Lonchura striata: one gene and its partner. The protein of the gene in region 1 binds, or shares a complex with, the protein of each later gene. Links are inferred from orthologs where the notes say so. Each region holds a gene or a part of one and is shown in the gene's direction. Other genes may lie near its edges.

Evidence for each region.
Region 2: the proteins of KCND2 (region 1) and A-type potassium channel modulatory protein KCNIP1 are in contact, whole or in part, in a cryo-EM structure (PDB 7E8E), measured with the Homo sapiens proteins. The link is inferred for Lonchura striata from reciprocal best matches to the Homo sapiens genes KCND2 and KCNIP1. Residues at the interface, in NP_036413.1 of Homo sapiens: Ala2, Val5, Ala7, Trp8, Pro10, Phe11, Ala12, Arg13, Ala14, Ala15, Ala16, Ile17, Gly18, Trp19, Met20, Pro21, Val22, Ala23, Ser24, Gly25, Met27, Ala29, Pro30, Gln33, Arg35, Lys36, Arg37, Thr38, Gln39, Asp40; in NP_001030009.1 of Homo sapiens: Thr60, Arg62, Glu63, Val66, Leu67, Arg69, Gly70, Phe71, Asn73, Glu74, Phe85, Ile88, Tyr89, Gln91, Phe92, Tyr101, Leu105, Phe109, Phe122, Leu126, Leu129, Leu130, Lys137, Thr141, Leu144, Tyr145, Val162, Ile165, His185, Phe189.

Annotation. Positions count from the first base shown.
Region 1 is NC_134607.1:33,256,490-33,271,633, reverse strand, and holds the start of KCND2 (A-type voltage-gated potassium channel KCND2), read left to right. Parts: upstream 1-8,175; 5' UTR 8,176-8,330; intron 8,331-8,834; exon of another isoform or gene 8,835-8,986; intron 8,987-9,513; 5' UTR 9,514-9,572; coding exon 9,573-10,687; intron 10,688-15,144. UniProt on the Homo sapiens protein: Voltage-gated potassium channel that mediates transmembrane potassium transport in excitable membranes, primarily in the brain. Mediates the major part of the dendritic A-type current I(SA) in brain neurons.
Region 2 is NC_134617.1:17,655,249-17,670,476, reverse strand, and holds the start of A-type potassium channel modulatory protein KCNIP1, read left to right. Parts: upstream 1-9,263; 5' UTR 9,264-9,264; coding exon 9,265-9,364; intron 9,365-9,424; exon of another isoform or gene 9,425-9,477; intron 9,478-9,657; coding exon 9,658-9,782; intron 9,783-15,228. UniProt on the Homo sapiens protein: Regulatory subunit of Kv4/D (Shal)-type voltage-gated rapidly inactivating A-type potassium channels. Regulates channel density, inactivation kinetics and rate of recovery from inactivation in a calcium-dependent and isoform-specific manner.

The DNA of each region.
Region 1 (15,144 bases):
AAAAAGAAACATGAATTCTTTATTGCACTTTGTTTCTGTCAGTCAAAGAAAAGAGATCGGGAGAATATTTATGATAGAAAAAGTGTTTCTTTCATAAGAGGAAGAGTTTGTCAGCAATATGAATGATATTAACAACTAATTCTACCTTTGAAATAAGCATTTTTCATAATAAATCATGGTGATAATGAACAACCTATACTGTGCTTGGTTTTTATGCTGTTCTCCTAAACATGTGTACACAAGCACACAAGTCTGTTACAGAATGCTTTCCTGAGATCCCCAAAAGCTACAAAGTGCTTGAGCTGTCTGGACTAGGGTCTCAGAAGGGGATAGGCCACTGATGTGCTGGTGCTCAAGAACAGCTGATCTGCACACACCTCTGGCTAGTGGCTGCTGTGGAAAAGCTGCAGAGGGATTCACACTTCTCAGTTATAATCCTTTGATGTAGTTCACGGTTATGGCAACCAGACAAGGGCAACCTTTGTGCTGTTAATTGCAACTGCCTAATGTAACCAGTTTCACCTAAAGGGGGTGAAATGTGAAAGTCTATAAAGAGAATGGAAAACAATGTGTCCAGATCTCTCTTTTCTTGAGCAAGCTGGCAAGAAATTCTCAGGATGAACCATCAAAATAAAGAAAAATGGCAATTTGTTGAATGGTTTTCTAGGTTAATTGAGTAAATTTCAAAATAGACTGAATACAGTAATTTCCAATGTCACTCCATCTGTCAAACTCACATTAATTCTTGAGTGTAATTTTAAAGGGGTAAAAAGACTAAAGATAAGCAGTTTTTATAATGTCATGAAAACTAGCAAGTGGTTGGAGACTAAACACTCTATTATTATTCACTGTGAAGGAAGCTAATGAGATCACCCTTCCTTAGACATAAAACGGGTGGGGAATCGGACATCAATAGTTATGCTGCACTGTGCTACTCTTTTTTTTAAAAGCCTTCCATGTTACATTACCTTCTGCCCTAATTGCTATTACTGGAGGATGAAATACAAGAGTACAGTAAGGGGTTTGGAAGGACTGCTGTCCCATCTAGACAACATTTCCATTCAGTATAACAGATAAAATTAAATGACCAAACTCACAGTGAATTATATGACTGGTTTGCAGAGGATAATGAAAGCAGACCAGAAGCTGTAAATGGACTTCAACCGTTTTCAAACTCTCACTGCTTTTGGGATCTTTACAAAACAAGTGGTTTTATTTCTTCTTACAGAGCTGTATTTATAGAAATGTGTCTACTGTCTAGTGTTTCACACTTCTACTTTGTATTGCTTTAATTTTAATTCAATTGAACAGGCTTATGTTTTGATTTTTTTTTTGATTCACACATTGTAAACAAAATACATCCTAACTACTCTATTCTTGAGGCTGTTTTATGTTATATAACAATCTTTTTTAAATGACTGGGCAATGCTACATACAAATCTGGAAGGAAACTGAAGGTCTGACATTGTGATGATTTGGTTTCTTATGATCTTGCTTTAAAAATGTTATAATTAAAATTAGATATTTTGTTGCTATTTGATTTATGAATGATGAAACTACAGCAAGATTATCTTTAATTGGTAAACAAAGCTATGGCCTCCTATGAAGCAAGTATGATTTCATTGAAACATACTTCTTTTAACTTGGACAGCAACAATATTGTGCAAGCTGTCAGACTCTTTTAACGGCATAACTTATAACTGAATAGCCTGTGCTGAAAACTGTCTTTGAGGTGAAGTATTGCTAATCATACAATAAAATATTTGTTTAATTTTGTGATGACGATAAATAATTCGTAAATCTAACATCTTCTGATATAGTCCTTTTTGGGACTATATAGATCATAATGATACTAATTTTAGGACAGTTTTTGATTGTAATATTTTTATTTTACAACTTCAAGGATCATATGACATGCAGTAACCATGATATCAAGTCTAACTAAATGTTTCTCAGGATTTGTAAACTGTTGACTCTGCTCCAGGCTAATAAAACCAAAGTGAAAAAAAAAGCCAGCTTTTCTGATTTGTATTTTTTATTATTTTTTCAATTTTATTTTAAAATTAATTTCATGCAAAAAAACTTCATGAGTAATGCTTCACTTTTGTTGAAAAGATATTTTATTTTATCCTTTCTCCCTTTTGGAAGCTTGGACTCAACACTCACCACAGCAATGCCACCAGAAACACCACAAAAAATTATTTCCTCCCTGAGCTGGAGGAGTAGCTTCTATAAATGACTGCTATCTCATTGCTGTTTATGCAATTAGAAAGCAATCATTAACATAAAAGAAGGTTTCTATTTCCTGTTCTGAACTGTGGTACAGGGGCTATTAGCAATTACTGGCATAAAAGGTGCCCCTACAGGCAGCTCTCCAGATGTTCTCAGTTTTGAAGAGTTACCAGCTTCATGCCAGCCTGACTGACCTCAGGCTTCTTTCTTTGCTAAGAGCTGGATGGACTAAGGAAGCGATTTGCAAAGTAAGATAATAACTTTATTCAATCTACTAACTTCTGAAAAATGTTCTATATTCATCTGTGCCAGTGAATGACACATTGTTTCTATTAACTATATTTTTGCACATATTCATCTCTTTCATATAGGAGTCCTATAAAGCTGCTGAAACTTGAAATGATAGAAGTTTTGCTGGAACAGAAACCAGTTATTAAAAATGGGAAGGATACAATTGCAGTCACTCTCAGTCAGAGCTGCAATACTCCTCTCTGGGTACCCTCCACGTCAGGTATTGAAGAGCAGAGCCAATCTAGTAACAAAACAGTTTAGAAAGGATTCGCAGTATAAGAGAGATGGGACTAATTAGGCAGGGAGCCATTGATCGTTGTGAGGTTTTTGCAGGAGTGAGGAAGGTGGCTAGCATCCAAACCCTACATTTCCTGGAATACAAAGAAAAAAGAAGTATCTAAAATGGTAATGTTTGGATGCAGATTGAAAGATTCCCATGCTGTATGTTATAGAGAACAAAAATTAAAAAGACAGTTAAGTCAAAAACTGTGAAGTAAAAAAAAATTGATTTTTAAAATTTTGTTTCTGGAGTGAAACAGGAGTGTTTGATGACACTGAAGATTCTGCATGTGCTTAGGAATGTGGCAGTGGCAATGCAGAGTAAATCTGGCAAATGGCATCTTTGTCATAGGCTTCCCAAAGTGCTTCAGTTCAACCACGAGTATGAACTGTAGTCATTAATTAGTTTTCTGCTTGAATTCACTCTTAGTTTCTCTTTCTAAGGATGTGACCTTAAAGGCACTTCAAGTCCAGGGTAGTTTCCTTTTGATGCAGCAGACTGGCTCAGGCTTTAAGTCTCAGGACCATTTTGCCTAAATGCAAAATATCCTAATGCAAAGACTCATACCTTAAGGACCACAGCCATCCCAGACTGCCTTTTATAGGCAATTGGCAACTGCCTACATACACTGAGATTGTAGGTAGGATAGATTGCTTTCAGGAGCTGTTTCTCCCTCTATTGACTCCAAGAACTCACGGAGAGAAGGCTCCTAATTAGATACCACAGGTGTTTAAAGCTAAATTGGTTGAAATTTGGTCTAATTACACAGACAAAACAATTGTTTGAAGATACCTTATGAAACAAAACATGAATTCAAAAGGAGAAATATGTCTTTATCTAAAGTAAAATTTAAAAGTTACTTAACATTTCTTTGATGGGTACAATATCACTAATCTAAAGAGGAATTCCCAGAACTTAATAAGACTAATAGTTTAACAGAATTAATGTTTCATATAATATCCTATACATCAAGAAAAACATATATAATGACTAAATCAGTATTTGTTGGTTTGGAAAAGTTAAAGCAAATATATTTGAGATCAAATTAGTCCCTTCTTTGGAGGAGTCTATGGTTTTCTTGAGATGATTCCAAATATTGACTTAGCCTCACACTAAGAAAAAAAGAAACTACAATGCTGACAGCTCTGCCTTCATGTTCCAGATTTTAAATCTGTAATAAATACATAAAAAAATCCTTTTTCCACAGAAGTAAGGGTCTTTTTTTTTTTTTAGGTTAGTGGTTGTTGGAACTCAAAATGTCCCTCAGACATTTTTAGAGGTTCCAGGCCTTGGTCAGAAGCATTTTAGATCCCGACAGGCAGCTGGAAACAGCTGTGATTTTGAGTTTGAGCCATGGAATGAGTTACCAACTTTGGAGGTGGAACAAGCAGTCACAAAAGGTTAGATAATATAGTAAAAGTAGTTACAAAACAGAGGGGAATTTTTTTTAGTATTGTACGGGGGGGTTTTAGCATCTGTACAGGGGGGTTTTTACTTTGTACATGGGGGTCAGAAGTTCTAAGATGGAGGAAAGTGGGCGGATCCTGTTCTTCCTCCTTCTTCTTCCTTGCCTCCATGTTCTTGGTGATGTTGGCACTCACAGATTGGTTTAGAGTAGAAAAGCACTCTAGGTAGTAGGTACTGGGGAAAACTGTAAACATGGAACACGTAATATATCATATAAAAGATAGCAGCAGCCCTGGGCGGGAGGGAGAAGAAGAAGACAGCAGATAGAGAGGATGTCAGGGTGTGTGTGTGCCTCTGCCTGGGCCGCTGACCAAGCAGCCGCAGCCCGAGAAGACAATCTTTTAGACAACTCACAATAAACTGCCTTGAGACTGAACAGCAAGAGCCTGTGCAGTTTTTCTTTGGAAGCACGGGTTGGAGGAGAAATTTCACCACCACATGGAACCCCAGAGCAAGCCTGGGGTTCCCACAAGTGGTGGCTATACTACCTTTCAGTTTGACTTCAGAATCTAAAAGAAACGGTGTCTATGGTGCACTCCCTCCATAGTATGTCTTAATCATTGACCAGTGAGAGGTGATTTTTTAATGTCCAGAGCAATCCATTTCTCCACATAGGAAGAAGGACACCAAGCACTTGCACTGCAGAGTGACTTGAGCCTATTTTAGCAAACTCCCAGAAAAATGACTTTTTGTCTTGGAAAAATTACCAAAAGCCTTTTCCTTATTCCGTCTGGCCCAAAGCACAAAAACCAGCTAGATTTAGGAAAAAAAACAAAACAAAAAAAACCCCAAAAAAACAACAACAACAAAAAAAACTGTGAAGGCAAAGAAACTGCAGTCTTTGACTATAGGTGTTTGGGCTGATTCCATGTTTGACCAAAGCACTATTTTTTTTATCTTTGCAAGGTAGAATCAAACATTTTCCTTTGTGAGACACATTCTTAATCTCACAACCTAGTTCTTCAATGGGCCTGTATTCTAGAAATTCTTATATTGGACTTTTGCTACTTAGATGGTTTCAGGAATGTTCCCTTCATTAAAAACAAAACAAAACAAAAAAAGAAGAAAAAAACAAAACTAAAACCAAAACCTAACAAACCTCAAAACAAAACACCATCTGCAGTGTTTTTTTCTCAAAAGGAAACTGTCTTATACTAGACGAATTAAAAAGAGGGGTACACATGTGCTTTCAGTCTGTAAAGAAAACTTGCAGTTTCAAACATTTTAAATATTTAGGAAAAAAAAAAAGCTCATTAATATAAACTTCTGCATCATAGCTGGTAATTTATTTAATCCTCAGAGAGTTCTTTGTGTCTCATGACTTTGGAATGAATTAAGAAACAGCTCATCTTAGAGCCCATTGTGCATTCCCCCTAGTATCATTTTCTTTTTTTCCTACAATTACTAGGATTTATTTTCTTCCCTTGAAAATAGGATTTTTGTCTCATTTGAGTCCCTGCTATTTAATTCCTACTTGAAGTCATAATCCTCCCTGTCACATCACACCAATCTCTTTGTGGCCAATTCTGATTTCACAGGCAGGATTTTGACTTAGAAAGACCTGATTATTTAGGTACACTTTATTTAGCAAGATTTAGTCCTTCTGAAACATATGAAGTAAGGAATACTTCAGCCAGGCAATTTTAATGAATTAAATATAAGGTACTAGCTGTGAAAGTTTGAGTTCCTGGCTATTGCTTCTCAGTAACATATTAATTAAGGAGTCAATAGACTCTATTCTTTTACTTCCAAGACACTGCTTTGGAAAGATGACTGATACACTGGGTGTCCACAAAACTTTAAGGTGAGGCAATCATTTTTCCAGGCAAGGGTGTCAGAAAAGTCTCTATACCTCAAATGGTTTCAAACCTCTGACTTAAAACAGACTAAATGCTATAATGCTATGTGGTACCCAAAATTGTCCAAAAATATAGGGTTTGTTTGGGGTTTTTTTCCATTTTTTTAAATGAAACTTGTAAATTTCTGAAACAACTTTAAGATTGCAACAGGAATCTAGGTGTTTCTCTAATGGCACCCGTTCTTACGGGTTCTCTCTATGAATAGAAAATTCTTTATTGTGAGATTCCTATTCAGGAAAAGCTCTAAAGAAAAAGATCAACTTAAGCCAGCCACTGATTTTTGTAAAGCTAGGCATGTTAAAAAAATAAGAGCAGTTATTGACTACAAGAAGAATCTATAGCTGACAAGGAAACCTCTTTATTTTCAGGAAAGTAAAGCAACAAATCAACAAACAAGTGCAGCAAATATACAGAAAGTATCTTTTATTTAATGTGATATTTTATTTCAAGTGACTTGATATATGTAATCAGTTTTCCTATACTAGAGTTTGTACTCAAACATTTTTAAGCCTTTTCTCTCTGTGCTTTCGAGTATTATTTGAACGAACAATTTAGGCTGTAGGTTAGGCTACAATACTGAAAGTGTTCATCTTTTTCATGGGAACTTAGAAGTGAATATATACTGAAGCTGAGCATATTATTAAAATACAGAAAAGAGTTAACTCCCAAAGTTCAGTGTGTATTTGGTTTATTTTTGCTTTGGTTTTCTTTGGCATATATCTCAAATTGCTTATCAGAGTGGAAGGTTTGGTTGTAAAAACTTCACATGTAAAGGAGCCTATTTATTTTGTGTTTTTTTTTTTTTTTTCAAAACCTCTTACCACCAAACGGAAACACAGGCAAATTAGAAGGAGGAATACCTTCTGGTATCTTCTTGCAAGGTCTATGAAGAAGACATGGAGCGGTTTCAGAATCCTGACTGAAAAATATGGACCGTTCCCTCTATTTATGGGCACTATCAGAGCGGCGCGCAGGGCTCGGGAAATCAGGCGCCCGCCCAGCCCGCGCCCGGCAGCAGCTGGAGGCGCGGCGGGGCCGGGGCGGCGCGGCGCGGGCAGAGCGCCGGGCGCGGAGCGGAGCGCGCGGCGCGGGGCGGCCCGGCCCCGGCGGGAGCTCACTTCCCGTCATCCACGCGCCATCTAGCGTCCGGAAAAGGGACGCGGCTCGGCACGGGAGCGGAACGAGAGGAGGAGGAAAAGGCTCCCACACCCGTCCCAGCTCTCGCCGTTCCCAAAGCTGGTAAGAGCCATTTGGACATTGCAACCAGAACTCCGGAGTGGCTCGGGGCGGGTCGTGAGGAGCATCATACACTTCACTCCCAGGCATCTCATTCCCCCTTTTCTGCAGTGAACGGTTCCCTTTCCCTTGAAAGCAGCTAGCGCTCCCCAGAAATCCCCTCGGTACCTCACCTAAGCTACCGCCGCCGACCGATCCCTACCCCAAGCACCGCGAACTCCAGAGGGTCTGTGCGGCGCTGCCGGCGGAGGGGTTGGACCGCACGATCCCGGCCCCGCAGAGACACGCACCGGCACACGCACGGGCACACACACCGGCACACGCACGGGCACACACACCGGCACACACACCGACACGCACACCGGCACAGCCGCGCTCCCTGCCTGCCCTGCCGCCGCCGGCTCGGCTGCCCGCATCCCTTTTGTTTCGCCCGCGGAGCGATGTCCTGCCCGCCCGCCCCGCGCTTCCCCGCGCCCGCACCGCCGCCCGCCCATGCGCCCCTCGCCCGCGGGCGGCGGCGGCGCGGCGGGGTGGCATGGCCCGCCCGCCTTGGGGGAGGCAGCGGGAAGCCCCTTCCCCGCCCCCGGCCGCGCCAGGGCCTCGCCGCTGCCGCCCGCAGCCCGCGGCAGGGCAGGGGCAGCGGCCGCAGCCGCAGCCGCGCCTGACAGCGGCCCCGCGCCGCAGGATCCGCGCCCCGCAAGGACGTGCTCCAAGAGCTGCCAGGCGCGATTACGTTGTTTTTTTCCCCCCACCCACCCCTTGAACTTGTTGCTTGGCGCTCGGCGGTGGCGGAGGGGGGTGGGGGTGGGGGAGAGCCTTATTATCGATGTCCCTTTGGATGCGATCAAGCTTTCTCAGGAGCAACTACTTCCCCGCCGTTCCCGGCGGGGCGCGGAGATCTAGCGGCAGAGCCCGTATTTCCAAAAGTCTCTATGCAACTGAGCGCTCTCGCCAGACTTTCACAGGTAGGTGCCGCAGACTGGGCACGTCTGGAGCGATTGGAGAGCTGAGCCGAGGGGAAGGGGCGAGAGGAAGGAGGCGGGGGTACGGGGGGAGTGGGGGGAGGGTATGATCCACCACCGACCGCCGAGCCCTAAGGCACCCCGCATCCCTGCCCCGCGCCCCCGGCCTCCCCCGCCGCCAGGGAGCTCCTGCTCCTCTCCCGCTCCACAGCCAGCCTCCCTCGGCTTCGCCTTCCGCCGCCCGCTCGGGCACTCCCGGGGATGCCCCGGCAGCCCACCTACTGCATGTGTCTCCAGAGCCCCCGCCCCTGCCCCCGCCAGCACCGCGGGAGCTCTCCCCGACCCCGGTCTCCTCGCCGGGGATCAGCCCCTGGCCGTGCCCTGATGCTCCGTCCGGGGAAGAGCCCCGCTCTGTCCCCTCCTGCTCTGTGGGGCGCTCCCCGCTCCCGGCGCCCCATCCCCGGCATCCCTCTGCCCTTCAAAGCGTTTCCTGCACGGAAAACTTGCCTTAAAGTTTAATGCTGCCGCCCGGAGCTCCTCCCCCTGCCCCGCCGGCTCCCCTGGCCCCTAGCCGGGATCTGGAGGAGTCCCCGGACGGCGATTAAAGGTCAGGGAGAGGATTCTTCCCGCCGCTGCTCCAGGGCTGCCGCCGGGAAGGGGGGCGGCCCTCCCGGCCCATCCCCTCCGCCCCTCCACGGCGAGCGGCGCCGGCGGCCCCGCTGCGGCCGCCCGGGAAGGGAAGGGCTCCGCCGGCTGCCGCGGCCCCGCTCCGGCGGCGGGCGGGAGCGAGCGGAGGAGGGGCGGGGGGACCGGCTGCATCGCGCGCGGAGGAAAATCTTCCAGGTGGCTGCACAGCTGCACTAGAGCTACTAGCCGGCTCCAGGGGCTAGTGATTTGAGGACTGTTGCTTCCATCCAGGGGCCTCGAATGGAGGGAGACCTTATATCCAAAGGATCTGGCTGTTAGAGATGCTGCTTTGAATACAGGGATTTCCAAGTGCCCTCATTTATTGTCCTAACAGTCTGACCATCACCTGGAAAGCGTATTCTGGGGTGAAAAGGTGGAGGGAACAAAAAGGAAGCAGAAGGGTTTTCAGTTAATACTGAATATCACAAAAATGTTCAGAAATTCTGCTGCCTCAAGAATGTGTGAGAATTTGTATTTTTCTTTTCTCTCTCTATTTTAGTGGCTGGACCAGAACTGTGTCTAGATTGACTCCCTTAGCTGTAATAGGTGTTTGGAACCATGGCGGCAGGTGTAGCAGCTTGGTTACCCTTTGCCAGGGCAGCAGCCATAGGATGGATGCCAGTGGCTACTGGTCCCATGCCAGCTGCTCCACGGCAGGAGAGAAAGCGAAGCCAGGACTCTCTGATTGTGCTGAATGTGAGTGGCATCCAGTTCCAGACATGGTTGGACACCTTAGAGCGCTACCCTGACACTCTGCTGGGCAGTTCAGAGCGGGACTTCTTCTACCATCCTGAGACACAGCAGTACTTTTTTGATCGGGACCCTGACATTTTCCGCCACATTCTCAACTTCTACCGTACTGGGAAGCTTCATTATCCCCGCCAGGAGTGCATCTCAGCTTATGATGAGGAGCTGGCCTTCTTCGGCATCATCCCTGAGATCATTGGTGACTGCTGTTATGAGGAGTACAAGGATCGCCGGCGGGAGAATGCTGAGCGCCTGCAGGATGATGCTGATACGGATCACGTAGCTGAGAGCTCCCTACCCTCAATGACAGCTCGTCAGAGGATGTGGCGGGCCTTTGAAAACCCACACACCAGTACCCTGGCTCTGGTGTTCTACTATGTCACTGGTTTCTTCATTGCTGTCTCTGTTATTGCCAATGTGGTGGAGACAGTGCCCTGTGGGGTAAGCCCGGGTCGCATCAAAGAGCTGCCCTGTGGAGAGCGGTATGCGGTGGCTTTCTTCTGTCTGGATACTGCCTGTGTCATGATCTTCACAGTTGAATATCTCCTACGTCTGCTGGCAGCTCCTAGTCGCTACAAATTCGTGCGCAGTGTCATGAGTATCATTGATGTGGTGGCCATTATGCCATATTACATTGGCCTGGTGATGACAGATAACGAGGATGTCAGTGGGGCTTTTGTGACATTAAGAGTCTTTCGTGTCTTCAGAATCTTTAAGTTTTCCCGCCACTCACAGGGTCTGCGCATCCTGGGCTATACGCTGAAAAGTTGTGCCTCGGAGTTAGGCTTCCTCCTCTTCTCACTAACTATGGCCATCATCATCTTTGCCACAGTCATGTACTATGCAGAGAAAGGTTCATCAGCCAGCAAGTTCACCAGCATCCCTGCAGCCTTCTGGTACACCATTGTCACCATGACAACACTGGGGTAAGTGCAGCTGGTGTTTGGTTACAGCCAACATTTCAACAAGTGTATTGGCACAAACAGAAAAATACTCAATTTAAAAAAACGGTGATTGACAAAAATGTGAGGGTAAGTTTTTACTACAAAACTTTAAGAATACAACTTGTGACTTCCTTCTAGGTGTTTTACATGTTTAAGTTAATAGCATTGCTGAAATTAAAATAACCCAAATCCAAAAAAACTGCAAAAAACCTGAAAAAGCAAACAACAAAACAAAGCAAAAAAGTATTGAAACTGTTTGGTTTTGGACAGCGAAATTGGAATGTTTTATGAGTATGTGTGAGTTATCAGTGGATTTTTAATGGAGTACTGTCTTTGCTGGCAGGCTCTGTTACAGTGTTGCTTAATTATTAATGTTTTTAAGGAGAACCAAAGTGCAAACTTTTAATTTGATCAGTATGTGGATCTGCCATTTTGTTTTGTGTATTGATGTAGACCTGGATATTGAATTTGTTATTACAAAGTGATTTATTTTCATGAAAATCATACCTTGTCTTTACAAAAAAAAAAATTCGTGATTTTATTTAAGACTCTGAACACATTTCCTTTGATTTTCATGGACCTATAACTTTTAAATTATGGGTTTCAAGCTACACCGACTGGTGAGACACTCCAGAAAATGATCTGACGAAGTGTGAGACATATGACACATCAAGCATATATTTTTAAACAATTCTAATGGCAATACAATTTCTTTCAGAGAAAAAGGGTTTAAAAGTGTCACTGTTGACATTAGAAGGTAATGCATTTTAATGGAAAGATGAGAGAAAGTATTATTTTATGAAGTCTCTGATACCAGTGTCTGATTGTATAGCTGATTCTTTGCACCAAGTTATAAAATGCATTTGTCTGTAGTTACAATAGAGATTTAGAAAGTTGACTAATTTGAGATGATAGTTTTTCCCTATTCTTAATTTTGAGTTGTATACCATCTATGAAATTGAAAATTTGTTGATTCATTGCAAACTGACTAGTTATTTAATAATTACAGATACTAAATTACAAACTTAGCACTTTCATTAAGGCAAGCCCATAATTTTATTAGCATTTTGCCATGTCTTGTTGGGACCGTTGAGATTTATGAAACATATATAACTTTTAAATTTAACGAAATGAAAGTGCATTATTAAACTATTATGAAAACTTGATTTATTATGTGCAGTAGTAATTTACTTGGGAAACACGCATACAAAATATTGAAAAAGATAAAAGGAATGTCTTATGCCACCATTTTTTATACAAGGCTTTTATCTTCTGTGTGATATAACAAATGAAGATAAATATAGTGCATAGTAAATATTTCATACTTCTTGTAAGGGCAAGTTATGCTAAAAAGGAGTGACAAGAGCTTTAGGGATTTTAATCCACCTTTTAGTTTCCTGGTTGGCTTTTTGGTTTTCATTTTCTGTTGCCAGTGACAAATGGAAGGGACCAGTTAGAAGAAGAAACAAGTTAGGCATGGTAACTAGATCCACATTCCTGTATTTTCTGATGTTGATCTTTTTACAATTTATTTTTAATTAGAACAGTGATGTTTTAAAGAAAGAATTGACTGATACTTTACTATAAAAAAAACCCAGAAGCTGGTATATGGTTTTTTTAAGTAACAAAGGTACTTTCTGAGTATGTTGTTTCCATGTTCATGAACAATGTGTGAAGTTCTTGTCCATGGTACTGAAGAGAAACTTTTCTTGTTTTATGCCCAAATTGCAACTGATTCCTCCACAGGTATGGTATCATAGATGGTGTTGGTATGATTTGTGTGTTTCTTTTGCACACACACACACACATACACATGTACATGAGTATTATTCTGTAATTCCAGGTTTTAAAGTATTACTCTGAGTAAAATCTTCAAAAGTACTGCTGTAATTTGAACATAATTTCAAATCTCTTTGAGTAGAACCTAAGAACCTGTTTTTACGTATACAACAGCATAATATTTTGGTCCCAAGTGGAACAAAAAGGGTTAAAGAGAATCCTCTCCTGCTTGACTACTTTTTTAAGGTAGTTTGAACAGAGAATGTTTTGAGCATGTTGAACAGAGAATGTTTTGAGCATGTTGGACAGAGATCCAAAGTCTTACCCTCAGGAGTTCAGGTATGATAGAGGTTCAAATATTACAGACATCTCCAATTTTTATGAAATATTTAATCAGTGCATTAGCTAGATTATGTCCTTTTAATAACATCATGATAACTTTGTAAAGATTATGTTTAAATGTTAAATATATATATGTGAATACTTTAAATAAAATTAGCCTAATAAAACCTTTGAAATCTTTTTAGTTGATGGGATAATTACACAAAAGGAGAGGGAAGTTATAGGGGAAAGCATCAAGGGTCAGTGAAAGCTGACTGTAATTCTTACTGATACCTTTTCTGTGTGCTAAAGCTTACCATCTCTTTACTAATATAGAATTCCTGTTCATTTTAACTTTAGTTGTAGCTGAATCAGAGATATATAAATGGACTCAATAGGAACAACTTCTCTCATTTAGAAACAAAGCTTGATTAAGTCTTTATGTTTTAAATGACAGTAGCACACAGCAGGTTATGTGAAATACTACAAAAATCCATGAAAGCTAACAGTGAATAATAGATTAACATAGAATTGAGTTTTTAAGTCTTGGTGTCATTGTCATATTTTTCTAGATAGCAAGGGTATTGAGTAAGCAACCTTTGCAATTTGGGGAGTTATTACCTTGGAAGCAGAGCTATATTTCTCAGTTCTGCATGATTGCTGAGCAATTAAAGTGTCTTTAAAAAACATAGATTGCAGAGTGCTAGTGACTTCAAATATTACTATATTTTTACCTCCAAGGATATCCCAGCTATTAACTGCTCTTGACTGCTCAGCTCATGTAGTACATGTACATGGAAATGTTACATGAAAGAGCTGAAAAAAAATGAAAAGAAGGGAAGAAAGGAGCAAAGGAAGAAAGAGAACAAGAGAAAAATAAAGGCAGAGAAAAAGAAGTGGAAGATGTCTCTAGAAAAATAGCATGCACAATTCCAGAAACTGAACTGTCTGATTTTGAACTTCAAAGTAGTGTTTTATCAGGATTAATTCTGGCAAAAGTAAAGTAGAAACAAGAAGAGAAAATAGAATAACATTAAAAGAGGTCACAAAATATTTTATGGAGATTCAAGATAATAGTGGAAAGCACAGAGGTAAAGAATGAGGTTAGTGTGAAGATGACAGAGAGAAGAGCTCAAGTCTACTGAATTGGGACTGGCAGAACTCCACAGGGGCTTGTGAACATCTACACCCATAATGACAGTTCTGTTGCCTGACAACATGACAATCTAATACATTTCCACCTGCCCCGTCAGGAGCCAGCAAGTGAGCTGAAATAGCTGGTAAGGTTTTGATGGTGTAAGGCTATTGTTTGTTCCCAAGTCAGTCAGAGCTATAGTGTAGTTTGTGTTTTATGAAGATATTATACTTTAAACAAGGAATGTAGTGCTCTTCTGTGAGTAGTTTTAAAGCAATCTCACTGCTGTATTAAAATTCCATTTTTATAGCCTTTACATTGGGTAGCTTTATCAAGTCACACAACGCTTCAGTAGATGAGCAGAATACTTTATGAAAGGAAACTTAAACTCAACTACTCATTTATTTGCTTTCATGTATAAACTAGAGGTGTGTCTTTCAGCAAAGATAAAGCAACTATTTGTTTTCACTATTTGTTAATATAGCCCATAATGTGTGAAGAAACTCACTTAAGGTATATCAAATTCTCTGAAGATTTTATAATAAACAGATTACTAGATGTAATAAAAGAAAGCCTCAAACAGTGAACAAGGGAAGAGAGCAAAGGATTTCCTTTTCCTGCATTCATGTTCTTTGTCATCTTCAGTCTTTTTTCCACTCTTTTTTCATTCCTATGGTATATTGTATCTATTTATTTTTTCCATTATTTATTCCAACTACCACTTGCCATAGTTTTCATGGTTGGGGTTTGTCTACTGGTTGACAGCTTTCCTCCCGTCTTCAAGATGAGGTTAACATTTGTAGTAAGACTTTGATGGCTGTATTTTTTTTTTTCTTCTGCTCCTTTTTTCCAGATTCCTAATTCATCCTTCACCACTAGATTAAATCTTTTGTCATCATTGTCATTCATTGACCTGAACTTTCTTCAGAACAGATTTTTTGTTCTGACCTTTGTTTGATATATTTTTCCTTATGAGCATCATAAAATTTCCACATCAACACTGCTTTTCTCAAATGCCACCACATATTCCCCTTTCTCACCACTGTGCTATTTTCAGTGTGTTTAGTTCCTTATAGTCTCTGCATTTTAGTTGGAAATAATCCATCTCTTTAAAAATTTTATTAAAAAATTGAGTTTAATAAAATCTGACAAGAAAGAACAAAATTCAAAATCTTTGTTTTATGAAAAATTTCATTAAATTTTG
Region 2 (15,228 bases), on another chromosome or scaffold:
TACTTCACTGTGTACCTAAGAAAACAAGTTAAGCAGAGCTCAGAATGAATTGACTAATCTAAGAACTTCAAAAAGCGGCTTCCCAACCTCAATTTCTGTTCCCCCAGACAGTAGCAACAGCAGTGTGGGAAGTGTCCTGAAAGGGTGGAGGTAGGACCATGTTTGAACAGTAAGTTATGTGACGACTGTACAATTAAATGACAATAACAATACATTAATACTTTAGCATTTAAGAATTGAAGCTGCAGAAGCAAAAGGCTTCTTAAGGAGGGCAAGATAATGTGGTCCATTATAAAAAGCAAGTAAAAGCACTGCCAGCATCTCACCCCATACAGGCTCCACAGCATGTCCCAAAATCTTGAAAAGGCTGGGCAGCTACACTGCAGTGTGGGTGGAAGCAGAAATTTTGGCACTGGACAGTAATGCAAGAGTGCAGCTGTCCAAACAAGGGTGGTTTACACCATAAGCTCCATCAGGTTGACATTTCCAACCCCACTACCACCTCTGGGGCTGGCAGTGAAGGGACCTTGCTGCTTCTCTGCTGGCCTGGGGCCTCACACCCCTAATCTTCCTTAAAGGCCTTCTCATCCACTATCCGTTGTCTGCATCCCCTCTTCATATGTCCCTTCTTTCCACAGTAGAAGCAGACAATTTCACGACCTCTTCCTTTTCCTTCCCTAGAAATATAACTCTTCTCCCGATTCTCCCTTTGTTCTACATTCCTTGCATGGGAATTAGGGTTAGGCCCTTCCTGCACACTTCCATACAATAATGTATCATTTTAACTTTGTCTTTCCCTTTTCTAGATGGGAAAGCATCCCAATTAATTATCATCAAACCCAAGGGGCTTGGGAATCTGGGGAAGCTTAGCATGGGTCCCCTCTCCCATGGGACCAGAGGGCTTGCTTTTCCTCTGTCCCATCTTCCGGAGTGCACTCAGTTTCTCACACACGTGCTCCCCTGGTTCGTGGCCCAGCCCCTCGCGGGGAATGGAAAACGCACTAATACAGAGTCCGCACTCACTTGGTCTCCACAAGACCTCTCACACACAGCACTCCGGGAAAACCACCCCAAACCGAGCGGGAAACCGGCCTATACTCACGCGTCCTGCGTCTTCGCTGGTTCTTCGTGCACAAAGATTACAGGGGTAACCGGTTCTCCTTTGCCCGTTACTCAATTTAGGTTCGTCGGTGGAGAGTGATCAGAAAGCCTGGGGCAGCCGGGCCGCCATAAGGGCGGGGCGCCTCCCGATCGTCCCGTAGCGACTGATCTACTTCTCCATCCGAGTCACGGCACCAAATTGTTATAAATTGTGACACGGCAATTTGAAGTGTCTTAATCCAATAAAGCAATTTTATTGAAAATAGCAAGCGAGTAAGGCAGGCAAAGCACAGCGCTGGGCGGCCGGGGAGTCTCCTGCTCCACCAACGGCGCGCAAAAATGTTCTGTCCCAACCTTCCTTTTATCCCCCCCCTTCTCCTTGCAGGCGTGACTCTCCAGATGTAGTCTGAGTCTGGTCGTTGTGATAGCTTCTAAGTCTCTTCTTTTGAGATGCAGCAAGCAGACCAGATACACATACCCAGGACTCTAATCTCAACCTCCTTATCACCTTGTAAGCAAATAAGCATTTCAAAGACACACCAGTACATTCTTATGCAAACCAAGGTAAGCGAGCATATCACAGTGAACAAATGATCTTCCACTTATCTCAATTCATATGTTTTCTCTCTTACCATTTTGACCCCACTCAGGAGGTGCAGTTGGCATTTTCTCTTCTCTGGGAGGCCCTCGTTGATTTTCGTTATTCTAGGCTTTTATGCCTGTAATTCTGATAATTTCCCTTTCTTCTTGAGAAAATAGTATCTTTATTATAGACTGCATTTCTTCTTAACTATAGATGTTTGGACTTAGAAATTGGTCTTGTTCAGCAGTGCCTATGGAATCTTTCAAAATCCTCTTGATTTCTTATTTAAAATTCCTGACCTCAGAAGAAATCAAGGGAGCATTCACAAACCTAATTCCACCCCCTCTCATCGGGACCTTTCTTAGTGGAAATAGACCAATTTCTTTAGCCCAGTCTTTTTCTATAGTGTTATAAATGAAAATTTATTCAGCCAAATTAAAAAATAAAAATAGTTTTATTTGTGGTCAAATTCTATCTAGCCAGCCATGAAAAAAAAACAGTGCCGAGCCCGGGGATCGACCCTGGGTGTGCAACAAGGAGTCAGCCTCAGGAGAGGTTTTTCCCCTATGCCCACACGCCTCCATCCTGGCACAAGCGGTTTTTATAGGGAAAATTCCACCTGAGGCCAAGATTTTCTGCAATCAGTCTTTTCTTCTATTTAGAGTCCATATGTTAATAAGATTTTCTCTTGGAGATGAGGGAGAATAATTCAGTGTCCTGAGTTGTTGAATCCCGTGATGAAATTTACGGGAACGCTGCATTCACATGTATCTGTCTGAGGATTTCCATGATACCCATCTCGGGTCATTCACGCGATGATCAGCACCTGGGGTCCCCCGCAGCTCTTCAGACATGGCCCATCTCCTGGCGAGCTGTACCTTCTTACTTGTAAATCAGTTTCCAATATACACCTTGAGGTGTGTATATTCAGAGAGGAGAAGGGGGGGTGGGGGGGGGAAGAGGCTAGTACAGACGAGTATAATCTAACAAGTATTTAACATTATATATTCCATACAAGGAATGGCGCAAATTATGTTTATTACCCATAACATATAGCCTTTCTCACGTGCTGTGAGGAAGAGTCTGGAGAATGTTGCCTCCTAACTGAACTTCCTGTGTTCCTATAAGGGGAACAGATAGAAAGACTTTCTCGGAGCTGAGGCTGCGGTTCCCGGGGAGCGGAGCTCCGGGCAGGAAGGGGGTGAGGGCAGGGCCGAGCGCCCAGTCCTGGTCCTCCGAAGGCGGAGCCCGGGCAGGGTGTGCTGCCGGAGCCGCTGCAGGAGGGGCAGTGCCGGGGGCACCAGCCGGGAGCGGGATCGGCCCGCCCGCGGTTAGGGGCGGCTGGGCCGGTGCTCCCGGCAGAGGCAAAGCAGCAGCGGCGGTGCCCAGCGCAGCCGGGACGGGCAGAGTCGCCGGGGCTGGGGCAGAGAAATCAGCCGCGGGAGGAGCCCCGGGATGGGCCGGGCGGGAGCGCCGGGAGCCCGGCGGGCGGAGCAGCCGGGCGGGCCGGGGCCGGGGCCGGCCGGGCAGCCGCGAGCAGCGGGACGGGGCCGGGCACAGAGGCTGCGGGCGGCAGGACGGGACCGGGATAGGTGGGGCCGAAGCGAGCGGCTTGCTGTGACCCGGGACAAGCACCGGGACTGGGGCAGGCGGGACCGAAGCGGGCAGTGAGCCGGGGCCCGGGACAAGCGGCTCGGCCGCGAGTGGTGCGGCGCGAAGAGGAATGGAGAGGGCAACACCTGTGAAGGATCCCACTCCTTTTCTTTTCTTCTTTTTCCCTCTTGTTCCCCTCCCTTCTCTTTACCTTTGTCTTCTTTTTTACTCATTTCCTGTCCCATTTTCCAAAATCTTATCTTTTCATTCTATTCCTTTGTTTCCCACATTCTCTAACAACTTGAATACCACCTTCTTTCAACTACACAAAAAGTCCTTTTTCTCACAATATCATTTAACACAATATAATTCAACACAATCCACCTCCCTCCAAGGAAATAAAGTAAAGCTTAAAATAAACAATCTACATTACATATACTTCTATTCATCTACATTTACTCTCCTTTATCTCTCACTCACTCACACACATTGACACCCTCAAGCCTGTTCATTCATAATTATTGACTTCACAATTCTGTTATATATACTTTCATTTGCCCACGCTCACTCTTTTTTTCACTCGCTCTCACATACAAGGTACCTTTTACTTTCAAACAATCTATATTACATATCTACATATCTACATTTATTCTGAGTGCTCTTGGAATGTAACCCTCATCCATCAACCCAGGAGGTTTAATCCTGGATGTCTCTCCATTCTGCAGGATTTTAACACACCTCTTACACTTTTAGGTGTTACTGGCCAGTTCGAGTGTTCTTGGCTATCCCTCAATCCAACCGTAACCCCAGATTCTCTTGGATATCCTTCAGTCTGGCAACTCTGAGTGCTCTTAGGATGTTAATCCCTCAACGTAGCAAATTTATGCTCCTCCAAGGAAAACCCTCTCTTTTTACCCTTTTATTTTTCTCCAATTAATTATGCCAAAAAAACCTCTTTTTGCCTTTTAATTACCCAATTAATTATGTCAAGAAACCCCTCTTTTTATATTTTTATTTCCTATCCCCCCCACCAAGGTGTCCCACTCCTTCCCCGAGACCCAGTCTCAGGTTCCCCGGGGGGGTTTCTCTCACTCTTGTTTTCACTCACTTCGTCTCTTTACTGGCCGCTTTTCTTGTGAAAAATACGGAAAGGCAGCATGGGAGACTCCGCTCTCACTTGGCAAGTCTGGGATAACCAGCTCACCTCTCATTCACACGCATTCATCCCCCCTTATCCACCCCATCCCAACAAATACCTATTCTTTGTCCTTGGGTCTTTGTTCTTCATGTACACGTTAATCTTAGGGGCTAATTACTGCGGTTTTAGGGAATCCTTTCCCTTTTCTTTGTTTTATTGTCTCCTTTTGTCCCTGGATTAAAACCTGTGTCTGTCGGTCACACACCAGGGGAACAGAGCGAGGCTGCCCAAGCAGGGCAGGATGCGTCTCTTCACTCCGAGTCTCCTAAGGCACCGGCAGAGAGCTGTTAGTAACCATCCTCTGCTACCATAATTGTGAAAAATGCCAATCACTTGGTTTTTAAAATTTTAAAAATTTAATAATAATAAAATGGTTATAAAAATAGTAATACAATTAGAGTAATAAAGTTTAGAGTTAGGACAATTATAAGACAATAAAAAGCAAAGAATTACAGACGTCTGGATGCTCTCAGACACTCAGTAATGAAAAGCTTCTCTTGTGAACAAAGGAATACCCTTAAAAGCAATAGCCTGTTGCATATTCATATATCTCATACACAATGCATAAATTCCTTGCAAATTAAGAACTTTTCTGGTTTTTGTCAACTTCTCTTTAATCTCGTTGGTTCTAAAAAGATGGAGAGAAGGTCGAAGAATGTTTGTCTTTTCTGATAAGGAGGCAGTAACTCTTTATGGGCCCCGTCACTGACATCTCTGTGTGAAGAGTTTCTTCATTAGCTTATCTTCTTGCTTGAGCTTATAACAAATCTTATATTGTAGAGTTTTTATTTTAACATTATGTTGTAATTTAAAACTACATTTAACGCACTACTTAAAAGAATTAGTACAGCATAACTTTCTAACATTACACATATAATATTTATTGTAACATTTGTGAAAAGCCAATCATAAAATATGCATTTTTCACAACCCCAGAGCTCTTGCCCGGCTCCTGCCCTAATGAACACTTTTGCACTCAGGCATTGAGTTATTTTTCTTTGTGAAATTACCAAAATATTTGCAATTGATTTCCCACAGGCAAGACCTGTTTCCTGCAAGACCTGCCCAAGAGCACATTCTGTCTGGAGATTAATTTCAAGTATACCGTGGGTAAACTAGATTAATTTTTTTCTTCAGGTCCTTAGTCCTAAAGTATAGATTTTTTTTTAAATAAAACTAAGATGCAGTCTAATAATTCTTGCATGTAATTTAATCCCCTTCAGCTGTATTTGTAAAATTAACCATTTCATCTAACGCCTGTCAGTTTTACAATTAACAATGGGCACATTAGCTACACTTAATGCCTTGACTGTTTTCCTTAGCAAAACGTGAATTTATTATGAGCAACTTGTTTTCAAAGTCCTCCCATGAACCACGAAAACTTGTGTTCTGCATTTTCATATTGCAGCCTTCCGATGCAGGGGACAGTGTAATTTACATCTTTATTGAAATCATTGGTTACACTCTCTGGCCAGCCCTAGCACTGTATGAGGCTTCACTATTTCTCATTTGGCAGGCATGTGGGCTGGAGATGCTGCAGGATTGCGCCTGAGGAAGGTGTTAGGTGCTTTTCGATGCTTGTTTCCCCAGCGCCTGTGGCCCAGCAAACCCAGCCCTGGGCACAGTCCGGGGGTGCAGGGGCAGCTGCAGGCACCAGCAAGGATGAGCAGGCTCAGAATCATGGCAGCTCAATCCCAGAGCTGAGGCAGCAGCTGGGGAATAACACATCATTGTTTTATGGCACACAAACGGGCTTTGGGTTGGTGGAAGGTGGTCCTGCTTGTGGCAGGCGGTTGGAACTAGAGGATCTTTAAGGTCCCTTCCAGTGCAAACAGTTGTCTGAAATGCAGGGCCATTTGCAGGCACTTTGAATATGAAACTTCCCAAATTGTAAAGATAACAAAAGGTAAAATTGGAACAAATATGAAAGGATGAATAAAGCAAGCCTCATTAAGTGACTTCTGAAGTGTATTCTGCTTAAACATCAATTTGCCTTAAGGAAAATTTGCTCTCTGCTCTTCAGCAAGGAGCAGTGAAATGAAAAAGTCTCTTTCATTAGCACCAATCTACATATATATATATATATATATATATATATATATATATATGTAAATATACATGTAGTTGCAAGTGTGTCAAGATTATTTTTCTTTGTAAAGTGAAGTCACTGTTTGGTTTCCATTATGAAAGGAAATGTGCATATCCTATGGGCTAAGCAAATACAGATGCTATTTTGCACAAAAATACAAACCTAAGTGACTATTTTAACCTGGGCCTACACTGGAGTAAGATTATCACAGGTGTTTCTACTGGACACAGACCTCATACCCTGCTATTAAAGCAGCCACAAAAATATGGGCAGAAATAAATCTGAACTCCAGAAATGTTACATCCCATTCTCCCATTTTAAAACACATTGTAAGGAAAACAGCTAAGTGAATGCTCTGTACCAATTAAACAATCTTCAGCCTAGGACACAACTCACTGCAGCCATCTGGTATGGAAGGGATTCATCCTGTGATGATTTTGACAAGTGTTGGAAATAAAAGCAGAAAAATAATAAATTAGCATTTATCAGTATGTGTAAGCAGAAGAAGCCTTCTGCATTAGTTACTGCTTCCACCAAAACCCCAAAAAAAAAAAAAAAAAAACCCACAAAAAAAACACAAACAAACAAACGAAAAATCCAAACCCAAACAAACCAGCTTTGCTAAGGCTCAAGCTCTCACTGAGCAGTTGGATGACATCCAGCCCTTGAGTGTGTGTCTCCATCAGCAGGGCAGGGCTGTCCTGCCAGCTTGGAAAGCATAAGGATGCTGTAAGCACCAGGCAGGTACAGGTGTCACTGAGCTGGGGAGGTGGCCACACTCACCCCTCACAGTGGGCGCAGTCAGTCCCAAGGTCTGTTCATGCATCAGTGAATGGAAGAAGAAAATTAACTTTAAACCAGAAGCAAGGTTGTTTCCTACACTCAAATCTTTCAGGAGAAAACTGGAAACAAGGCAAAACTGAGGAAGAATGTGGTATTAGATAAAATATCTTAACATCATTCCTATTAGTTTAAATTTGCATGTGTTTATGTATATACACTTCTGCTTGCACTCACCACCCTCAGTGAACTTCAGTTTAATAAAATTGTAGTTGTTATAAATGCAAGCACTCATATTTCATACAGTGACACCTCTGAAGAGCTGGAGGGACTGAGCCAGGATGATAATGAAAATGCAAATCAAAGGAACTAAAATGCCCATGATAAAAAGCGAGAGCAGAGGAGGAAGTGCCAACCTCCTGTTTTGCCACTGAGGTTTCTGTGGTTAATTTATAGGGTATCAGGGAATGGAAGAAACAGGTTGAAAAGAGCTGACTTGAGAGCAAGCACTGAAAGGAAACAACGAAAAACCCCAAATCTTTGTGGAGGGTGAAGACTATTGAGGTGGATTTTCTTTTTCAGCCACTCATTTCTCATCCCTCATTTTAAATAATTTCTTCCCCACAATTTTCTTTCTTTACAGCTTCTGCATTCCTTTGTTTTGTGTCGTTAATTCTCATGCAAAGAAAATGGTTTTTTCCCCTTATTTCAAATTACTTTTGCCTGTAGCAGATGTCCTTTTACATTTCCTTTCTTCTAACAGGAGGTGTAATTTCTAGACTCTTCCCCTTTGTGTGGGTAAGGTGTGTACTTCAGACTTCTTTTGGCCCCTTGCCAGCCTTCAGTCCCTTTTTTTTCATCATGAACTGTTGATACTCTGCTCCTGTCCCTTGCTGTTACAGCCTCTCACCTTTATTCCCCTGCTGTGCAAGGGACCTTCAGAACAGGATTTAGGAATACATTTTATCTGTTCAAGGTCTACAAATACTGACTTTGATGTTGCAGATGTGGTGGATTAAGAGCATAGTTTAATTCACCAATATTTTGAACCAGTTCTTAATACTGACAAAATGAACCAATGTTAATTAACCACTAGCATTTACTGACATGTGCCCTCCCTTAATAATGATCAATTTAATCTGTGTATGTATATATATATATATATATATATGTGTGTGTGTGTGTGTGTGTGTGTGTGTGTGTGTGTGTGTGTGTATCTCTGCAGAATTAATTAGCTTATGAAAATACACCTTTGGGCTGGTCTGTTCTTTCACTGAGCCAGCCAGCTCATGAGTTTGTGAATCTGAATTCATGCCTTTCCTCTATTCCTCTATTTCCTTGCAAATTTTGATTTAAATTGTTGACTTACAACAGAAACTACTATATTATGCTTGAGCCAAATAACCTAAAATGTTTTTATAAGATAAGAATTGTGCAGTTTTTGACAATAAGGGGAGTGTTTGCACTTATGCAAGCAACTTTTGGGTGTGGGTTGGATTTTCATGTCAGCTGAAGGCTGGACCTGGTCCTTGAAGTTTAGAGAATCTCAAACTGATAGACACTAAATATCTATGTATTTGGGCATTACATACAGTTCTGAGGGATGGGCTTGAAAGGGGAAAACATGCATCAAAAATTAAGTGAAGTTATGGTAATTCAGGATGTGATAGTATTTTTCATCCTTGTAGAAGAACACACTCTTGAATAAAATGCATAGAAGTGTCTTTCATTTTTTATCTCTTTCTCCAAAATGTCCTTCTAAATTCAGGGTGGATTAATTCCAGATTCTGCAACTGTGGACAAAATTTGAATTTCTCCTGGGACTAAAGTGACCTTCAATATCTCTAGAGCAAGCTTTTTGGTTAACGAACAGAGGAGTTTCCCTCACTGTTTAACCCCAGTATAAGGGCATTGTCTGATATGCCTGAGCATGTCTGCTTTCTCAGAGATAATTGCACAGCTGGAAAGCTGAAGTCAGTACTTTGGAAGTGCCATTCCTTCACGCTGTCTCAATATTTAGGTATGAAATGTCTGTGGTTGCCTTTTGGATCAATGTGTCTGCTGTTGTCCTGCTGCTTTCACCAACATTTTGGCTTTGTGAATGGACAGCTAATTGGCAGCCCAGGAAAAAATGTGAGCTTTACTCCTATGGCTTTTATTTTGCTTTCAAGAGGTTGAAAACATTTAGACTGATCAGTTCTGTTGATGGTTTCTTTTTGATCTGTTGTTCTTGAAATCCTGTCTGTCCTCTCCATCATGTTAAAAGAGCAAAAGTAACAACTAAAATAAATATTTTCCTGCCTTCTCTTTCAGATAAAATTGAAGATGAATTAGAAATGACGACAGTGTGCCATAGACCCGAGGGACTGGAACAGCTTGAAGCACAAACCAATTTCACTAAAAGAGAACTTCAAGTTCTTTACAGAGGATTTAAAAATGTAAGAACGGTATCGCAATGAACAGTCTAATATCTATGTCCTCATCAGCCTCAACTGCTCAGCTCGATTTTGTATTATTCCCCTGCAAAGCATTACTAGTTTTGTATAAGATCTCCCATACCACAGCAAAATGAGCACAATCTGCCTCTCCATCCAATATTTATGACACTGCAATCTGCCTAAAACTGGGTTTGGATGAATATTCAGCACATAATGGTCTCGTTAAATTTGTTCCTCAAATGTCAGTAAGCACAATTCCATTTCCTCAGCTGTGCCAATACTTGAAGATAACCTGAAAATATTTTTATGCCTACTTATTTAAGCCTTGCTGTCATCTCCTCATGTTCAAATATAAGTGGTACTGTTCACTTGTAATTAGGTGCCCAGGATGGAGATTTCATCCCTTCTCTAGCTGCAGAAATCTTGCTCTTGTAGTAGAGCACTTTAGGACTTCAGGGTCCTGTATAAGTAGGGAATAAGGCTGGAGTGGCAGGAGCCAAAGCGAAATCAAAACTTGAATGTGTGTTAAGACTGAGGAGACCAGAGAGAGGCTGCAGATTTCTGGGCAAGCAGGCAGCAGTGCCAGCTGGCATGACTGAGTGTGAAGAGCAGCTCTGTGCCCAGACTTGTGAGCCACCATTCCAGCAAGGCTCCCTGGGAGCCCAGAGTCTGCAGCTCCTCAGCCTCAGCCTGGCTCTGTTTCTGCCTCTCAGGGGCTCCTCACAATCAGGAGAAATTGATGGGAAATGTTGAGGCTTCATGGAGCAGATGCTTTATGGACCTTGAAGAATGAGTACTCATTACATGTTTGCCTGAGGGTCAGGATTTAGTCACCCAGGTGGTTTGTGCCAGCTGATGTTTTAATGGTGATTAACAGGTCAGAATCAAACTGGCTCAATAAACACAGGATGTTTTTTATATTCTCTTGCAGGACAGCTCCAGCATTTAGAAACCATTACAGCAGAATGCTGACATTTCTCAGTCAAGTTTATTGTGTAAAAACTTGTCAAAAGAAAGCTGAGCTACCTTAAATACAGGCAGTTCTGAAGAACCTGTGGGTCTTTGAGAAAAGCCCTTCTTTTTGAAAGGTTTTTGAAATTTGATCAGATTACATTTCCAGTGTATATTTGACTTTTCCAAGGAGTCTGGTGGTTTCACCCTTTAATTCACTGCTCACCTAAGTGAGCCAAAGCACAGCTCAGCTTTCTGTATTTTTGGTGGTGTGTGTGGCATATTTCTGCAGCCTTTGATGCACACAGGAGGTCATTTCATGTGTAAAGTTGCCTAACTGAACATTGATATCTCTTTATGCTTTTGCCAGCCAGCAGACAATCACAAAAAGAGACAAAACTTGGCAGGTTAACACCCTGATATGACATGACTGCCTACAGAGTGAGATTAAACCCAGTTTTGCTAAGATCTCTACAGTGCCTTCTGTATCACTGTCAGGTGGGAATCCTATGTGGGAGAGCTCTGCTTTGTGCTGGGGGCATTTGCAGCTACAGAGGCAAACCAGTGAGGCAGACCTGGAGCACTCAGCACACAGGACCCTCTGCCTTTCCCAATTCTGCTCCACTTTGCACTACAGAGTCATTACTTCCCAGGGCAATAGTGGCAGACAAGGGCATTTAACTTGTGACCTAAACCTAGGACATCACTGAAAGTCTTGATATTAATTGGCAGTGATGGCAATTAATTGGCAGTGATGGATATTAAGACATATCTAGATATAAACCAAGACTGTTTTTATCCAGCTGATCTACACATAATATATGCAAAGTTTCATGTATAAGGTTTAAATGAACATGAAAGTGCAACTTTAACACTGGTAGCTTGAAAATCCTGGTTCCAATAGGATGGGTAATTATGTACAGGAGGCAAACTGGCTCATCTGTTACCGTATTTGCTATTGTACCAAACAGTCTGTTCCTTGGGATGATGTTACAGTGACATCTGGAAATTCAAAATCCCTGTGGGAATACAATAATTTTCCTCCCTGGCTCGTACTTACTGTTTATTCTCAGTGATTATTGCACAGGTCCTGTTTAATCACAAGGCAACACCTGGATAATCACAGAGCCATTTGCAGGAGCTGGTGTAGGGGACAGAGGCATGAAGGTCCTAGCTGCAGAGGATTTGGTGTGCAGGAGCAGGGATGGTGTTCCACCAAAGGCAGCTCAGCACAACCTGGGCTGGCCTCTGGACTGGTCCTTGTCTGACCAGGGTTCTAATTCTCAGTACCTTTAAAGCTGTTCTTTCTTTGTCTCTGAATTCTGTTCCCGCCCCCCACCCCCCAGATAATCCCAGTCTTTACCCAGGGTGTCACTAATCTGGCCTGGTGTTTTTGGCCCAGAGTGATAGAGGTTGCCACTAAATTCATTTCCAGAGAAGCCAAGCGTGCTAACCAGGCCTGTATTATTGCTGCGTGGCCAAATGTCCCCTCTCTTTGCCTTCAGCTTGCCTTTCCAGTTGTGAGAGTGTGCCACCCTCCAGCATCTCTTGGTTCCAGGACCAACAGTTCACATTTATTTAGCAGTTGCCTGTGCCCACTTTATGTGAATGGTCTCCTTTGCACCTCTCTGTTAGCTCTGGTAAGACTGGAGCCCGGCTAACATGAGGTGTTTGGTCCCATCTCTTTGGTTGGGATTCTAAACAAGTAAAGTGACAGGCAAACCCATCAGAGCTTCTGGTGGGTCTTGCTTTGGTACAACTTAACAAAAGAAAATGTGATACTTTCTGTCTACAAAACCACCAGAATTGTTTGAGCTAAACAGCATTATTGGCACAGGAACAGAATGGCCATGGATAGGCATAGGCTGAATTAGAAGAAGATTTCTGCCCCCACAGAGGTTTGGTGGCCAGTTATGGAATTACAGGGAGGAGAGCAAGGAAATATTTTTATTATTAAAATTGATAAATTGATGTCTAATTAAGTGACCAACAATACGGAGATTTGAGCTCAGTAATTCAGGATCTTCCATCTTAGGCCATGTTTCATGGCTTGCATTCTTTGGAATCGAGTACATGGATTTAAAATAACTGGTGGTTTTGTAGGTTTTTTTTGCTCAGTTTGGGAAGGTTTGTGCTGTTAGGGGAAATGCTTGTTAGCTACAAGAGATAATTTCTTAATATTGAATCAGAAAAGACAACCCAAATGACTGAAGGGTTGCTGAAGACATCCTTACCTTGCTTTAGTATGAGTACTTTAGCAAATCTGTAACAAAGGGTAGTATGATATGTAATTTTAACAAAGCAGGATTATGGAGGTTAAAGTGAGCAGTACAAGCAAGGGAGAAATATTCTGATACTTTAATAATCCCCAAAACATCTCCAAAGTGGGAGAACATAGAGCAACAAACTACATGGAATGTGTGAGTGCTTAGAGATGCAAATCTGGATTGTGCGTTTGTCTGTGGTTGGCTAATTTGCTACCTCTAATTTACAAACTGTGACCCCTGGGTACTCATCCTCATATTCTGGCCAGCTGAACTGAGGAGGGTCTGAAAGGCAGGGCATGCTCAGCTCCCCTGTGGTCCCTGCATCTCTGCTTTGCACATCTCTGGAAGCAGTCAGTGAAGTTTATTTCTGATTCCAGCAGAGGAAAAATGCAACTGCTGTTTTATTTTCCTTTTGGTTTTGTGGGTGTGTGTGTTTGGTTTTCATGTGGATTCAGCTCCTTTGTGGCATAGTGATTTAAAAGAAGTGGGCAAGTTCAGATGCACAGCTTGTGCTGCCAGAGCTTGATAGTCAGCCCTGGGAAAACGAGGGTTTTTTTCCTGTGCTTGATGACAACACACACAAAAAAATGTTCACTGTTTGGCATTTAAAAAGAATTATTAGGTTAAGGAAATGAGAAGTGTAAACCTAAAACCCTGCTATCAAAGGAAAGCCTTATGAATACTACAGTGAAAGACTGTGTTCTTACTGACAAGGATTTTTTTCTTGAATGAGTGAACCTTTATTAACTTCAGTGGAATTTAAATTGACACTAAGCTCACCTGCTCTGTTTCACAACAGAGATTTCTTTTGAGTCAGCAGAATTAAGTAGTACTATAGCACTAATGAGGCCTCTGGAGCATTATTTGGCTCTTATAAAACAAAAATTGTGATCAATTAACTGCAAATAAATTGGTAGTAGCATATGTGTCTGAAAGCAATCCAGTTATAGAGAGCTAAATGGGCTGATCAATGTCAGCACTGCCTCTCCCCAGAACTCCTAGAACTATGATGCAAACTTTTATTTGGCTTCCAGATGGAGCATCAGAAGCAATAAGGATCACGTGGAAATTCAGAAAATTAAGCAAGCCCAATGGTCCAACTGCCAGGGTAGCCCTTGCCCTTGTGAGAGAGCACAGGCAGCTGCAGCAGCAGCAGCCATGTACACATCTCTGGCAATAAACACAGGGAAGGGACCTCAAGGACTCTGCAGTTGAGGGAAACATCTACAAACCATCTTTCAGCAGGTGAAGTTGTGGTTCTTAGAGAATATAATGGTTCTCTTGTCACAGGAGAGAAGGAAATAAATCTTGATGTAGCACTGTGCTGGAAAGGATGGGCCAGTTGTGCCAGACTTGGTTTTAAAAAGAATGACAATTTGGTGAAATACTCTGCAAGGACCCTGTGCAATCTTGTAGCAACAGCACTTCAGTGACCAAGGAGAACACTGCTGCCCAAAAATGGCTGTGGATACAGTTCTAGGTCTGATCAATTATTAAAATATACCATAAATAAATATCAGATTATTTATTTAATGCATATTAGCTTACAAGCTTCAGAAAACATGAATATTTAGGAAATATTTGGGAGAATCTCTTATGGTAGCTGTTAGATTCTATTTAATTATCTTCCTTTGATGATTTCTGCTTTAGAGATGAAAAAGTAACAACTTTTCTTGTGTTAAGAAAACCAGACAACGCATGTTTTAAGAGGAGCTTTGGATCAGTTTGAGAATGCTCATCTAACTAGAAACCTTGCAACCTCCAAAATCATGAGTGGCACATAGAGAAGTTGTCATATTGACTGTTTGCTGGCTCTGTCTAAACAGCAGTTGAGGACTATCAGGCAAGGTAATAGGAGTCAGGTCCAAGTATGGAAAGATGGTGGTTCCTTGTGCAAAGGGTTATATTATATTAAGTTCCTGGCTGAAGCACCTGTGTTAAAGTGGGGCAGGGATCACAGCGTGACACAGAGAGGAATGCATGGAGTGAGTATAATGCCAGGAACAGAGGAACTTTCTTGATTCCAAGTCTGCCATTCAGCTCAGAATAAGCACCAAGCCAGGCTATATGCTCCAGTTCTGTGAGTTTTGTGAGAGGGAGTTAGCCTGCTCAGATAATCCATCTCCAGCACCTCCTAGCAGTAGGGACAGTGCTCTTGCTCCCTCCTCCCTTCCTGATGGGATCTTGGGGAATTAAATGGCTGAGTGCGCTCAGTGCTGCAGCAGGAA